Canis lupus familiaris: one gene and its partners. The protein of the gene in region 1 interacts with the protein of each later gene in a pairwise test. Links are inferred from orthologs where the notes say so. Each region holds a gene or a part of one and is shown in the gene's direction. Other genes may lie near its edges.

What was found. The genes of interacting proteins can lie anywhere in the genome.
Region 2: the proteins of EXOSC5 (region 1) and TNFAIP1 interact in binary tests that used the Homo sapiens proteins (3 or more experiments, as listed by UniProt). The two-hybrid records come from large-scale screens. The link is inferred for Canis lupus familiaris from reciprocal best matches to the Homo sapiens genes EXOSC5 and TNFAIP1.
Region 3: the proteins of EXOSC5 (region 1) and FCHO1 interact in binary tests that used the Homo sapiens proteins (3 or more experiments, as listed by UniProt). The two-hybrid records come from large-scale screens. The link is inferred for Canis lupus familiaris from reciprocal best matches to the Homo sapiens genes EXOSC5 and FCHO1.

Annotation. Positions count from the first base shown.
Region 1 is NC_049222.1:113,387,510-113,391,019, forward strand, and holds part of EXOSC5 (exosome complex component RRP46), read left to right. Parts: intron 1-2,277; coding exon 2,278-2,391; intron 2,392-2,903; coding exon 2,904-3,025; intron 3,026-3,510. UniProt on the Homo sapiens protein: Non-catalytic component of the RNA exosome complex which has 3'->5' exoribonuclease activity and participates in a multitude of cellular RNA processing and degradation events.
Region 2 is NC_049230.1:42,558,339-42,562,489, forward strand, and holds the start of TNFAIP1 (BTB/POZ domain-containing adapter for CUL3-mediated RhoA degradation protein 2), read left to right. Parts: upstream 1-1,348; 5' UTR 1,349-1,494; intron 1,495-4,151. UniProt on the Homo sapiens protein: Substrate-specific adapter of a BCR (BTB-CUL3-RBX1) E3 ubiquitin-protein ligase complex involved in regulation of cytoskeleton structure.
Region 3 is NC_049241.1:45,538,864-45,543,167, reverse strand, and holds the start of FCHO1 (F-BAR domain only protein 1), read left to right. Parts: upstream 1-1,501; 5' UTR 1,502-1,592; intron 1,593-2,843; exon of another isoform or gene 2,844-3,135; intron 3,136-4,304. UniProt on the Homo sapiens protein: Functions in an early step of clathrin-mediated endocytosis. Has both a membrane binding/bending activity and the ability to recruit proteins essential to the formation of functional clathrin-coated pits.

The DNA of each region.
Region 1 (3,510 bases):
CCTCCAGACCTGTCGGTGGACAGTCCGGACCTATGTCATCTGTGATGCTGTCAAGAGCTGTTTGGTGGAGTGGTGGGGTCAGGGAGGAGAAGAAGACAGCAAGTCAGACTTGTCTTTGAGAGCTTTGCTGGAAGAGGATCAGATAAATGGGGCAGGAGTTGAAGATGGATGTGGATCCAAAGAATATAGAATTCCTTGAATTGCTCCCGAAAATTGCTGGGGCCATGTCCCTGAGAAGATGAGAGGGAGGATCTCCTAGGTTCATGGGGGCCACAGGCAGCTCATCCAGAAAAGAATGAAGAGCAACGTGTGGATCTCGTCCTGTGTGGTTAAGTTCCCCTCTGAGGGCAGATTCTCCTGGAGCCAAGAGAATCCCTCAGCTCTGGTGCAGCTCCTTCTCCCCAACCCAGGAAACATGCCCTGACCCTGGGGACCTTCCCAGGCCCTCCTGGAGACTTTGCTCTTCTGCTAAAATCATATGCCTGGAGTTTCTTAGACTTCAGAAACACTGAGGAGGGTTAACGCCTTCCACGTTCTAAAACTCCCAAACTCTGGGACCCCTGGCAGACCCTGGAAAGTACGTCCCACCCGCCTTTGGCCTCCAAATCTCTGATGGGGTTGTTAAAAAGGCAGGGTCCCAGAATCCACCGCACACCTGCTAAGGCTGGCCCCTCTCCATCTGTAACCGCTGCAGAGATTCTGTTTGCAGTGTTTCGAAGCTGTGCTCAAGCGCTGTTTTTCCCACTGCAGACTGTGGGCCCAGCTGCACGTCAGAATGACCCGTGGGAGCTCTTATGCTCCCAGTGCCCATGCCCCACCCGGCAGCTGAATTAGGATCTCTGGGGGAGGGGGCTGGACGTCTTTTCAAGTGCCCCGGTGATTCTGAGCGTGCAGCCAGGGTTCAGGACCACTGCTGCGGTTGGCAGTACTTTTTAACTGGAATAGAGTAGGGGCGCTTGACGGACTCTGTCCAAGGAGCGTCCGACTCTCGATCCCAGGGCTGTGAGTTTGAGCCCCATGTAAAAATAAAATCAAAAAAGTAAATAAGTTGGGACGCCTGGGTGGCTCAGCAGTTGAGCATCTGCTTTCAGCTCAGGGTGTGACCCTGGAGTCCTGGGATCGAGTCCCACATCGGGCTCCCTGCATGGAGCCTGCTTCTCCCTCTGCCTGTGTCTCTGCTCCCCCCTCCCCCCGCCCCTGTGTGTCTCATGAATAAATAAATAAAATCTTTAATAAATAATAAATAAATAAAAAGTAAATAAAATTAAATGAACTAGAGTAGAGTAGAAAGCATTAGAGTGTCAGAGCAGTGATGGTAAGAGGCGTTTTATGAGGCCTTTGTTGCGTGTCCACACATGGAGATTTGCATGAACTTGGGGTGGTGCCAGAAAATACATTTTTTAATTGAGAGTTATGGCAAGAAAAGCTTCAACAGCCACTGGTGTAGTTCAGTCTCTTCATTTTGCAGATGGTAAAACTGAGGCCAAGAGAAGTGAGTACAATCAGCCAAGGTTACAGAGCTAGCAAGAAGCAGGCAGGACCAGAAGTCAGGGGTTTTGGGGGCTTTCTTTGTTTGGTTTTGGATTTTTTGAAGATTTATTTGACAGCAAGAGAGAGCGTGCATGCTTGCACAAGCAGGGGGAGTAGGAGAAGGAGAAGATCAGCCCACTTGGGGCTCGATCCCAGGATCATGACCTGAGCCAAAGGCAGATGCTCAACCGACTGAGCCACCAGGCACTCCCTGAAGCCAGGCTTTTGCTTCTCAGGTCTTACCTCCGCGGACCCCATTCGTGCCCACTCAGGACCACTCCTGGGTATTTCTCACTCTCGGGGGTCCCGATGACTGCAGAGTTTGGGGACGTGAGCCCGAGGGAAGAGAGCTAGGTTGGAGGAAGCTTTGTGAGGAGTTGAGACCAACTGCAGTAAGGAGGAGGAAGGTTAGCCCTCGGGAAGAACTTCCCGTTGAAGTTAAGAATAGCTAAAGTCAGTGGTGCGCTGGGCCATAGCTGCAGTGTTTGACGTGGATGACCTCGTTTAATCCTCACGACGCTACAAGGTTAGGTGCTGCCATCATCCCCATGTCCCAGATGAAGAAGCGTAGGCAGAGACGTGAGTGAAGCCAGTGCTCAAAGAACCACTACCAGCAAAAGGTGGGCCAGACCCGGGGCTGGCGCAGGGAAGGCCAGCCGCCAGCTCACTGCCCTGGTGCCCCCACCCTGACCCCTGCAGCCCCAGGAAGGCAAGGTGTGCATGAGACCTGCCCTGCTCTCTCCCCAGGGGACACGTCAGTCCTGGCGGGCGTGTACGGGCCAGCCGAGGTGAAAGTCAGCAAAGAGATCTTCAACAAGGCCACCCTGGAGGTGATCCTGAGGCCGAAGATCGGGCTGCCTGGTAATGGGCGGCAGGAGCTCCACCTTCTTCCCCTCCGCCGTCCCCACCCTCAGCTCTTTGCGCCTTTCCCCGGCTCTTGGCCTCCTGTCTGTCCCCCACCTCCTAGTCTGTCCTCCCTACTCCTCTTTCCTGGCTCCATCTCCCCTTCTTTCCACTAACCTGTTTTTCCACCCGTTTACTCTCCCCCTTACGCTGAGGCTGGGTTCAGCAGCCAGCTGAGAAGTGGGCAGCGGCAGGGGACAGAGGAACTCAGGGTTTTCCTCCCCCAAGAGGCTCCCTTGCTGGATGCTGGAGGGGGCAGGGGTGGGGCGGGGTGGGTCCGGTCAGGCCCTGCCTCCTTCCCACTGGGGGTCCTCTGTCATCCGTGCAGGGTCCTGCACCAGCCCTGGTGGAGATGGCAGGCCCTCTCCAGAGGGCTTGGGTGGGGCGTGTGGAGGAAGGTGAGCCAGATGGAAGGAAGGGAAGAGGCTGACAACCCCACCCCGCCCTGCCCCACCCCTGATTTTCCCCAGGCGTCGCGGAGAAGAGCCGGGAGCGACTGATCAGGAACACGTGTGAAGCAGTGGTATTGGGAACGCTGCACCCCCGCACCTCCATCACTGTGGTGCTGCAGGTCGTCAGTGATGCTGGCTCTGTATCCTTCTCCCCCCAGGCCGCCTCCTCCAGGAAGTCCTCCAGAATCTCCGTGGTGGCCTCCCTTGCTCTGTTAGCCAGGAGGCCTCCGAACACTTGACAGGCACCCTCTTATTGAAGAATAGCAAACCCACTTGAGTGCTCACCACGCGTCGGGCACTGGTCTGAGTGCCTTATACATGTTAACTCACTTCATCCTCACGGCACGACAGTTCGGTGCCACTATAATCCCCCATGGCCCAAATGGGGAAACTAAGGCACAGGAAGGTCAGCTTCTGTCTAATAATGCAGAGCGAGGATTTGAGCCCAAGCCATGTGCTCCCAGAGCCCGAGGCCCCGGGCAGATGGGAGTTCCTATGTTCCCATGTTTGAGGTGAGGAAACAGGCCCCGAGAGGGGAAGTCCCTTACCCAGGGTCACACAGCTGGAAGGCGGCAGGGGCAGAACTCAAGCCCAGGCCTGACTGCCTACAAAACCTGTGCCATTG
Region 2 (4,151 bases), on another chromosome or scaffold:
TAAAAGAAATGTAATGCATTCCAGGAACCATAAGGCTAAAACCCAGTGAACAAGGGGGCATGTGGAAGAGGTAACTCTAGATGAGGAGGCCTGAGCGTTCATGGAGAGCTCTGAAAGCCACAGTTATGAACGTGGGTTTTATCATAAGGGTAGTGGGCAGCCAGCAAATTCTCAGCAGGAAAGGCAGACATATGTGTCTTTTACAACCATCACTCTGACCCAGGGTGGAGGAGGGAACAAGAGAGTGGGGCTACACATACCTTGTTCATCGCTGTAACCCTAGCATCTAGCAGGGTGCCTGCACTCAGTAAATGTCTGTGGAATGAATGACTGGAAACAGAAAAGGCTATTACAGTACCCAAGGCTTGGAAGAAAAGCGTCCCCATTTGCGATGTTACATAAGCTGATGTAATTAGTAAAGCCCCGACTGAATGTAGGAGTCTGGGATGAGGGAAGGAAAGAGGCAGGCAAGATTCCCCTGTATCTGGCTCGAGCGCCAACTTTTAAGTTCGGTGGGCAGAGCTGAATGAGACGGATAAGACCGGATAAGGAGGGCAGGGAGAGGGTTCACAGCCGACTATCAGATTCCCTCCCAACTCCCACCACACGTGCGTGTCTGAGCATCTGAGGAACACCGGGCACCAGAGCCGCGCGGGGCTCCCCGAAGACGGCGGCGGCGGCGACACTCTCCGCCTCCCTGGCTCTCCCAGACCCATTCCCGGCCCCGCCGGCAGGCGCCATTCGCGGGATAGTCGGCAAGGGGCGCCGGGCACACAGGTAGGAAGACCTGGGTGATGGAGCTGGCTGTCCACACTACGGAAACGCCTCGAACTTCTGGGCCGCGGTTTCGTCACAGGGCCGCTGCGAGCATCCACGCAAAGCTCCAGGCCCCAGCTGGAGTCTCACCGCTCGCAAAGACGCGCGCGGAATCCCCACGTTTCTTTCGGCCTGTCAGGTTCAGTCGCCCCGGGTCCGCCCGCGTCCCCCGGCCCGGAGTCGCTGCCTACCTGGCAACCCCGTAGCGGCGGCGCGCTACCGCCCGAGCTGTTTCCTGCAGGCAGCCTCTCTCCCCGGGCAGCAGCAGCCGGTGCCTCGCCCGCCGGCCTCAGCCGCTGCCACGGCTACTGTTTACCCGTAACGTCATTACCTGACTGCGGAAGTACTTACCCCGCCCAACCCGCAGAGCCTGCTGGGAAAAGGGCCTGTGGGGAGGGACGGCTGCCTACAAGATCCAGAGGCCTTTGCGGCGGAAAGGCTGCCGGAAGTAGCCGAACGCCAACAGCGGAATTCTCCCAGGGGCCCCTCCCTCTCCCGTGATTGGGTGCTGGGCATGGCGGCGGGGCGGGCGGGGCTGGGCCGCGGCTCAGGGCGGAGTCCGCGGGCGGAGGATGTGAGCTCACGGCCCGGGATTGCTGGCGGGCAGGCGGCCACAGCCCCGGGCGGCACGGGGTCGGCTTGCAACCCAGCTGAGAGGAGACGTGCCCCCCGGGAACGGTGAGAGGCGGGGTGCGGATGCCCTGGGGGACAGGATGGACGGGCCGCGGGCTGGAGCAGGAGCAGGGGCAGGAGCCCCACCCGGGGCTGGGGAGAAGGCGTGGGACGGCGGAGGGGAGATGGAGAGCGCAAGTCCTCCACTGGGGTGCGTGTCAGAATCGGTCGGCTTCTCGGTGTGAGGAGGGGTGCGGCCCGGGGAAGACTCCACCGACCACGGAGAGGTTGGGTCTCGCTAATCTTTCCAGACCTTTGGGACGAAACCTAAGATTTACACCTCGGATTTCTGCTGGATCCGCCTCCTCTACCCAAGATTGGCCACCCGCCCCCCACCCACCCCACCGAGTGTCATGGACCCATGGGTCCGTCTTCTAGGACCCCGCCTTCTTCCACGGCCGTGGTTGTGGTCCTGCCCTTCATTCTGCTTAGGTTCCCATTAGCCTCACTGAGGGAGACTCGGATACGCCCTCAGCCCCAGGCATCCCCAAATACCCACACACAAAGTCCGGAAGGAACTGCAGTGAGGCTATCAGTGGAAACTTCATTCTCTCTGGAATTACTTTCTGGGGCGTCACCTGCCAAAGATTCCTGGAGCCCATTGGCCCGGGAGGAATCTGAGCGGTCGGCATCTGAGCTGACGTCATCCAGGGGCTCAAAGCAATTGCTTTGTAGGCTCTGTTGGCCACCCCCTAGCCTTTGAGTTCCTTTACTTTGGCGGAACATATGTTTGCTTTCTTTGATCCTGGGGAAATCGGGGCTAGACTCAAAATGCATAGGGGACTTGCTAAAACCTGTTAAGGAGTGGATTTACTCCATTGGGGTGGGTGGGGGAAGGTGAGGTGATTTCATACTATCACGTGTTACTTAGGGATTGGACAATCTGCTGGTGAGGTTCATCTCCTCCGTACTCCATCCTTGAGGCAAGTGAGTCTCCAGGACAAGCCACCAAAGAAATTTGGCATTTCAGAAAGCAGCCGCTCTGGTCCTTCCTTGGACAGTCTTCCTAGAGGGCTACCTAAATCTTTTCAGGGACAATTTCAGTCTAACAAACTGAAATAGATTAAATACTTTCAGATGTGCATGACATTGTGCTAATCACTGTTTGGGATAGTAGAGCAGTAAACTTGGGGAAGCCGGTGCACTGCTTCTGGATCGCACTTGCAGGAGGTGATGTGCAACAGTAAACTTTTGCATACTGTGATGACTGCTGAGGCAATCACACCTTTTTTTCTGTCTGCATTACCAACACTGCAGGCCAGGCGTCCATCAGTTGCCTAGACTGCTGCTTCCTTTACTCTTCCTGCTTGCTCTCGTGCACCATTACAGTCCATTCTCTACAGGGCAGGCAGAGTGATCTTTTCAAAATGCAAATAACTCAGGACCTATCACTCCCCTGCTTAAAACCCGCCAATCGATTACCATTGCAATTAATCTAAAATGCAAACTCTCTAATGTGAACTGGCCCGTGCATTACCTGATTTTACATCAAGCCAACTACCCTCTTCTTTCTAAGTACTGGACATCTTGGCCTTCTTTCTGTTCCTGAAATTTGTGTCTGATTGAGAAACTTTGCACTTACTCTTCCATCTGTTTAGAACACTCTTTCAGACTTCAGCTGGAATGTCACCTTCCCAAAGAGGGCTTCCTGTGCCCCCATCCGTCTTAGTACTTCTCCCTAGTCATTCTCTTATCCCTAGTTTATTTATTGCATCTTACCTTCTGGAACTGCTTACTTAAAGGTAAGGTTGGTATCTATCTCTCTGTTCCTACTGCTTAACATAGTAGGCACTCAGTCTTGTTTTACTGCTGAATGAATTAAATGAAGTAATGTATATATTGTCTACACACTACCTAGACCATGGTAAACATGCAGCAAATGTTTGCTCTTTTTTTTTCAGTGAATGAATTTTAGTGATTCCTTAGAAAACCAAGATGTATATATAGTATAGAATCTAGCTCCTGAGGGGTGACCTGGCTTTTCCCTCCTCTGCTTTCCTCACTCCTCCTTCCTGTGAATGCCTATCTGTGTTTCAGTTTCCAAATCACTTAAAAGTTGTTTTTAGATTTATCATCTGGTCTTTTCCAGCCTTGTGGGTAGGGAAGAAAGGAAGGGATAGGGCTGGGCCCTATCCTTTCAGGAAAAAGAAGTAAAAATAGCCATCCTGTAGTTGTTCTAGCCTGAAAAATGGTGACAGTTTCAGGAACTTGGGACAGGGCGGGGATCAAGAGAGGTGAAGGTGAGGAAACCGCTGGGACCTGGGTAACTCTGCCGGGAACATTGACCAGTACCCTCCACCCCAGCTCATACCATGCTCTCCTGGAGCTGCTTTTACTTTACTTTCTGAAGCCACACTGTGGGTGGTGCTCAAAGTAAGCACTGGCGCAAGCTGCTTTGGAGCTTGGAATCTTTAGAAAGGAAGTGCATCCTGTCCCTCTGGCTCCTGGGACTCTCCTGCACTGGCAGAAGTCTTGGGTCCTAGGAATCTTGGGAAGAAAATATGTGGCTCCTCAGGGTAAAGACTTCTGCTGCCCCATCTGCTCCTCAAACCATCTCAGACTAGCTCCAAGGGTTTACTTGTCCTCTGTGCTGCCTTGACCTGTGCCGAGGCTCAAGGAGGCTGGCGAGATGATGGGCAGGCTCTGGAAGACTGTGCTGGTTC
Region 3 (4,304 bases), on another chromosome or scaffold:
GTCTCTGCCTCTCTCTCTGTGTGTCTGTCATGAATGAATGAATAAAATCTTAAAAAAAAAAAAACAACAACCCGTAGATTGAAAACAGCTCTAAAATAAATCGTTTAGGGACGCCTGAGTGGCTCAGCAGTTGAGTGTCGGCCTTCGGCTCAGGTCATGATCCCATCCTGGGGTCCTGAGACAGAGTCTCACATCGGGGTCCTGGCATGGAGTGTGCTTCTCCCTCTGCCTGTGTTTCTGCCTATCTCTCTGTGTGTCTCTCATGAGTGAACAAATAAAATCTTTAAATAAAATAAAATAAAAATAATAAAATAACTCATTTATTATAAACAAATAAACAAACAAACAAAAAAACACATCTATAGTTGCCAGGGGAGCAGGGACTGTTAGGGGCAGGGGTGGAGGCAACAAGAGACCCAAGTAGGAAGCAGAGGCAGCCTACAGGCCTGGTCTCTTGCCACCGGGGCATACAGAAAAATGGACGAGGGGCAGCCCCAGTGGCTCAGCGGTTTAGCACCGCCTTCAGCCCAGGGCCTGATCCTGAAGACCTGGAATTGAGTCCTACATCGGGGGCCCTGCATGGAGCCTGCTTCTCCCTCTGCCTGTGTCTCTCTCTCTGTGTATCTCTCATGAATAAATAAATAAATAAATAATAAATAAATAAATAAATAAATAAATAAATAAATAAATAAATAAAATATTTTTTAAAATTAAAAAAACAAGAAAAATGGACGAAGTGGGGTGTTTCAGAGACACGGGGCCAGTAGGAACAGCGTGGAGGTCAGGAAGAGAAGACTGTGAGACTCCAGGGCCTCTGGCCCACGCTCCTGAGCTGCCCTTACTGAGCTGGGGTTGCTGATGGGGGAGCAAGCCTGAGGCGGGAGGTCACCCCAGTGTTTCAATGAAGGGTTGAACGGCAAGGGGCATTTGACATCTCATTTTATGAGGGCCCAGGTGTGGGGGACGAAAGCCTTTCTGATTTGTGGCAAGACAGCATTCTTGGGGATAGCTCTTCCCAGTCCTGGGGCCAGCTCCCTGAGACTGCCCCCAAGGATGTGGGCTTGCCGTGTGGCCTCCTGGCAAGTTCCTGCCTCCACGGTGTTTTTCTCCATCTGTAAAATGGGAATCAATGACGTCCCGCCCGCAAGCCTGTGGGGACCTCACATGAGCCCCGCTCAGTGCCCGGCACACGGTGGGACCCCGATAAACTGCTCACCCCTTCGCCCTCCCCCTGGGTCTCCGGTGGCGGGAGAGGAGCCTGTTGCTTTAACTTATGCAAATACACTGCGGGTGGTGGAAGTGGGGGGTAATGAGAAAAAAAAAAAAGCAGCCTCATCTCTGGATCAGCCAATCAGCTCTCCGGACTGACGGAGCCGGCCGCCTAAATGGCCCAATGGCGGGCCGCGCGGGCTCCAGCCCCGCCCCCGCCTCCGGGGGCCGTCTGGTGGGTGGGGACTCTCGACGCCACGCCCCGGGGGCGGAGCCAGGCGGCAGCCGCGCCGCAGCCGCGGAGGTAGGGGCGGGGCGGGCTCGGGTGTCAGAGACCGAGCCGCAGGTGGCGGCGGGCGCGGGGCTCGGCCGGAGCTCGGGAGGTGAGTGCTGTCCTCGGGACCCCCCGAGTCCCCTGGCCCGCGCAGCCCCTCATGCGCACCGCGCCCGGTAGCCCCGGAGGCCACTGGGGGCAAAGGCGCGGCGGGGCAGGAGGGATGGCGAGCTGGGGGTTGGGGGCTGCGCGGTGGGCCCCTGGCCTCCCAGAGACCATCATCCAGGGCCTGCGGAGGGAGACAGGGACCCCTCTCCAAGTCCCCCGTCTCCTGGCCTAGAACCGGAGCGTGCAGGATGGTGGCTATGACGTGAGACCCCTCCCCAAATCCCTTTATTCTAAGCCTGGATCTGGGTGTAGGTTCCAGGGCTGCAAAGATGGGGGCGCCGCTCTCCCTCCAGCCTGGGACCCAGACAGCCGAAGTGGAGACCACGCTCAATTTCCCTCTTTCCACCTCTGGTCTGCAGACCCCTGAGGACCAAGATGGAAGAAGCCCCTTCCCTTTTTCTCCACTGTGAACCGTGATGGGCCTGGAGGAGGAGCTGGGGGTCCCCGGGCCTCTCCTCTAGACTGTTCTATCCCAGTCCCCTACCGCAAGGATGAGGTGGGGGGCGTTTCACTGTCATCCTCTGCAGGGACCCCCAAAGTTGGAATTCTGGGGAGGGGGTCAGTGTGGGGTGCCTTGCCTCTCTGGGACGGGCCAGGCCAGGCCTGGGAGGGCCTGAAGCAAGGACTTGGGGGTGGTCCCTGCCTCAGTGGGGGGTGGGCAGCAGCATCTGTTCTCTGGGATTAAAATAAATCGAGGTAAATTAGGATCTCGCCGGAGGCTGACTGCGAGTGGGGTGCGGAGGAGGGTTGTGGGGTGGGCGGCCCCTCCATCTGCCTCAAATCTGGGAGTTGCCTGCCCCAGCCGCAGTGGGGACCAGGAGGCAGCTTTGATGGACCTGCCTCACTGGTGACCTTGGGCAGGTGACAGCACCTCTGTGAGCCTTGGTTTTCTCCTTTGAAAATAGGGATGAGGGCTTGAGAGGCTGTATTCTCTACAGATTCTGAACCCACACACCCCACCATATACCAAACTATAACTCCCTACTTCACTTAAGATGTGGTTTGGGGGTGAGAGGGCAATGGGTTTGGAGACCCCCTGACATGCCTTGCTAGCCTCTGAACCTCAGTTTATGGTGCTGCAAAATGGATTCGTGGTCACTCTGGCCTTGCTGCAAGGGCTGTTCTGCCAGAGAGTAAAACATGTTACCCGGCTGCAATCATTGGAATAGGGGCTCCACCGCCCTCGTCTTACCGGTGGGACTGCCTGGGGCACACCCTGACCCATATATTGTCACCCACGCCAGGGGTGAGCCGGTTCCATGGGTGGGGTGGCGGGTAGGAGGAGGTGGAAGGCACCAGGCCAGCCTGTCCCCTGACTCTGCGGTGGGCACAGGGGTGAGCTCAGAGCTGGGAGTCCAACACCACCAGGTTCAAACTGATTCCTCCCGTGTGTGGCTTTGCCCCCCTGGGCCTCGGTATATTCTCCTGTGAAATGGGCTGGATCCCCCTTGGAAGATCAGAGGAGACGTGGGAAGACGGGAGCCCTGTAAATACAGACACGGTCATTATAATACTAATTACAATATTAGCGATCATAAATGAGGTCACAGCTGACAGGGAGAAGGGAGGAGAGAGGGGAGCCTGCCAGGGTGTTGCCAGCTGCGTCTCTAGAGCCCGCCAGTTAGGTACACAGTTGGCGCTCAATAGGTGTTTGCCAAAGAGATGATAAAGGGAGGAGACTAGTGGCGGAGGATGGAAAAATTACTGAGCTTGACAGCCTGGTCACTGTGCGACATGGGGCATGTGCCTCAGTTTCCCCATTGGGGTGATGGTCAAGATGAGACACTGCCTCGAAGCGCCATTGTAAGAGTCGAGCCAGATTGTGTAAAGGTCACTGGTGGCCGGTGGCGAAGGGAGGAGGCTCCTGACAGGACAGGTCATTGAAACAGCGCGGCCACAAGGCTGGCTAGTCACTGGAAAGGGAGAGAAAAATCTCAGACTGGCCCCCCACTATGCACACACTAGTGTCCAGGAGGAGCAAAATGTCAGAGCCTGTTTCATAGGACCCTGGAGGCACAGAGGTCAGGGTAGGCCCAAGGTCACAGCAGGAGGTCAGGGCTCTGGACAGGTGGCTTAGAGCCAGTGAGCTCTGCCTTTGCTGACTCCAGTCCTGTCTTGTTTTATCTGTTCCTGGGCCTGCTCACATGCTCGACCCTGCGCAGAGCTGTGGGTTTTGGGGAATTGGTGCTGGGAAAGCAGAATCTCCAGGCAGCACCTGGGGCTGTCAGACACCTGCCCCCGCCCCCCAGGACTCCTCTCCGCTTCCAGAGGATGGGGGGCATCCTGGTCCAGCTGACTGCCTGCTGTGTGACCTTGGGCAAGTCCCTGTCCAGCTTTGGGCTTTGCCCTGGTGCTGTGGAGGCCCAGAGTCCTGGGTTGGAGCAAAGCTATTTTCTCCATCAGGTAGAGAGGCCTCCATGTCTTGGACACGGCACTTTCAGAGGCCCATGAAAGATAAGATGTTTTAACTTCTTTCAGAATCAGAAGGGAAAAAACATGGGCTTGGGGGTCAAAGAATACATTTTATTTATTTATTTATTTATTTATTTATTTATTTATTTATTTACTTATTCTTAACGAATTCATTTTAACACATACTATTAATATATTCATCTCTGTGCCAAGGCAATTTGTAACATATAGTTTGAAGTCT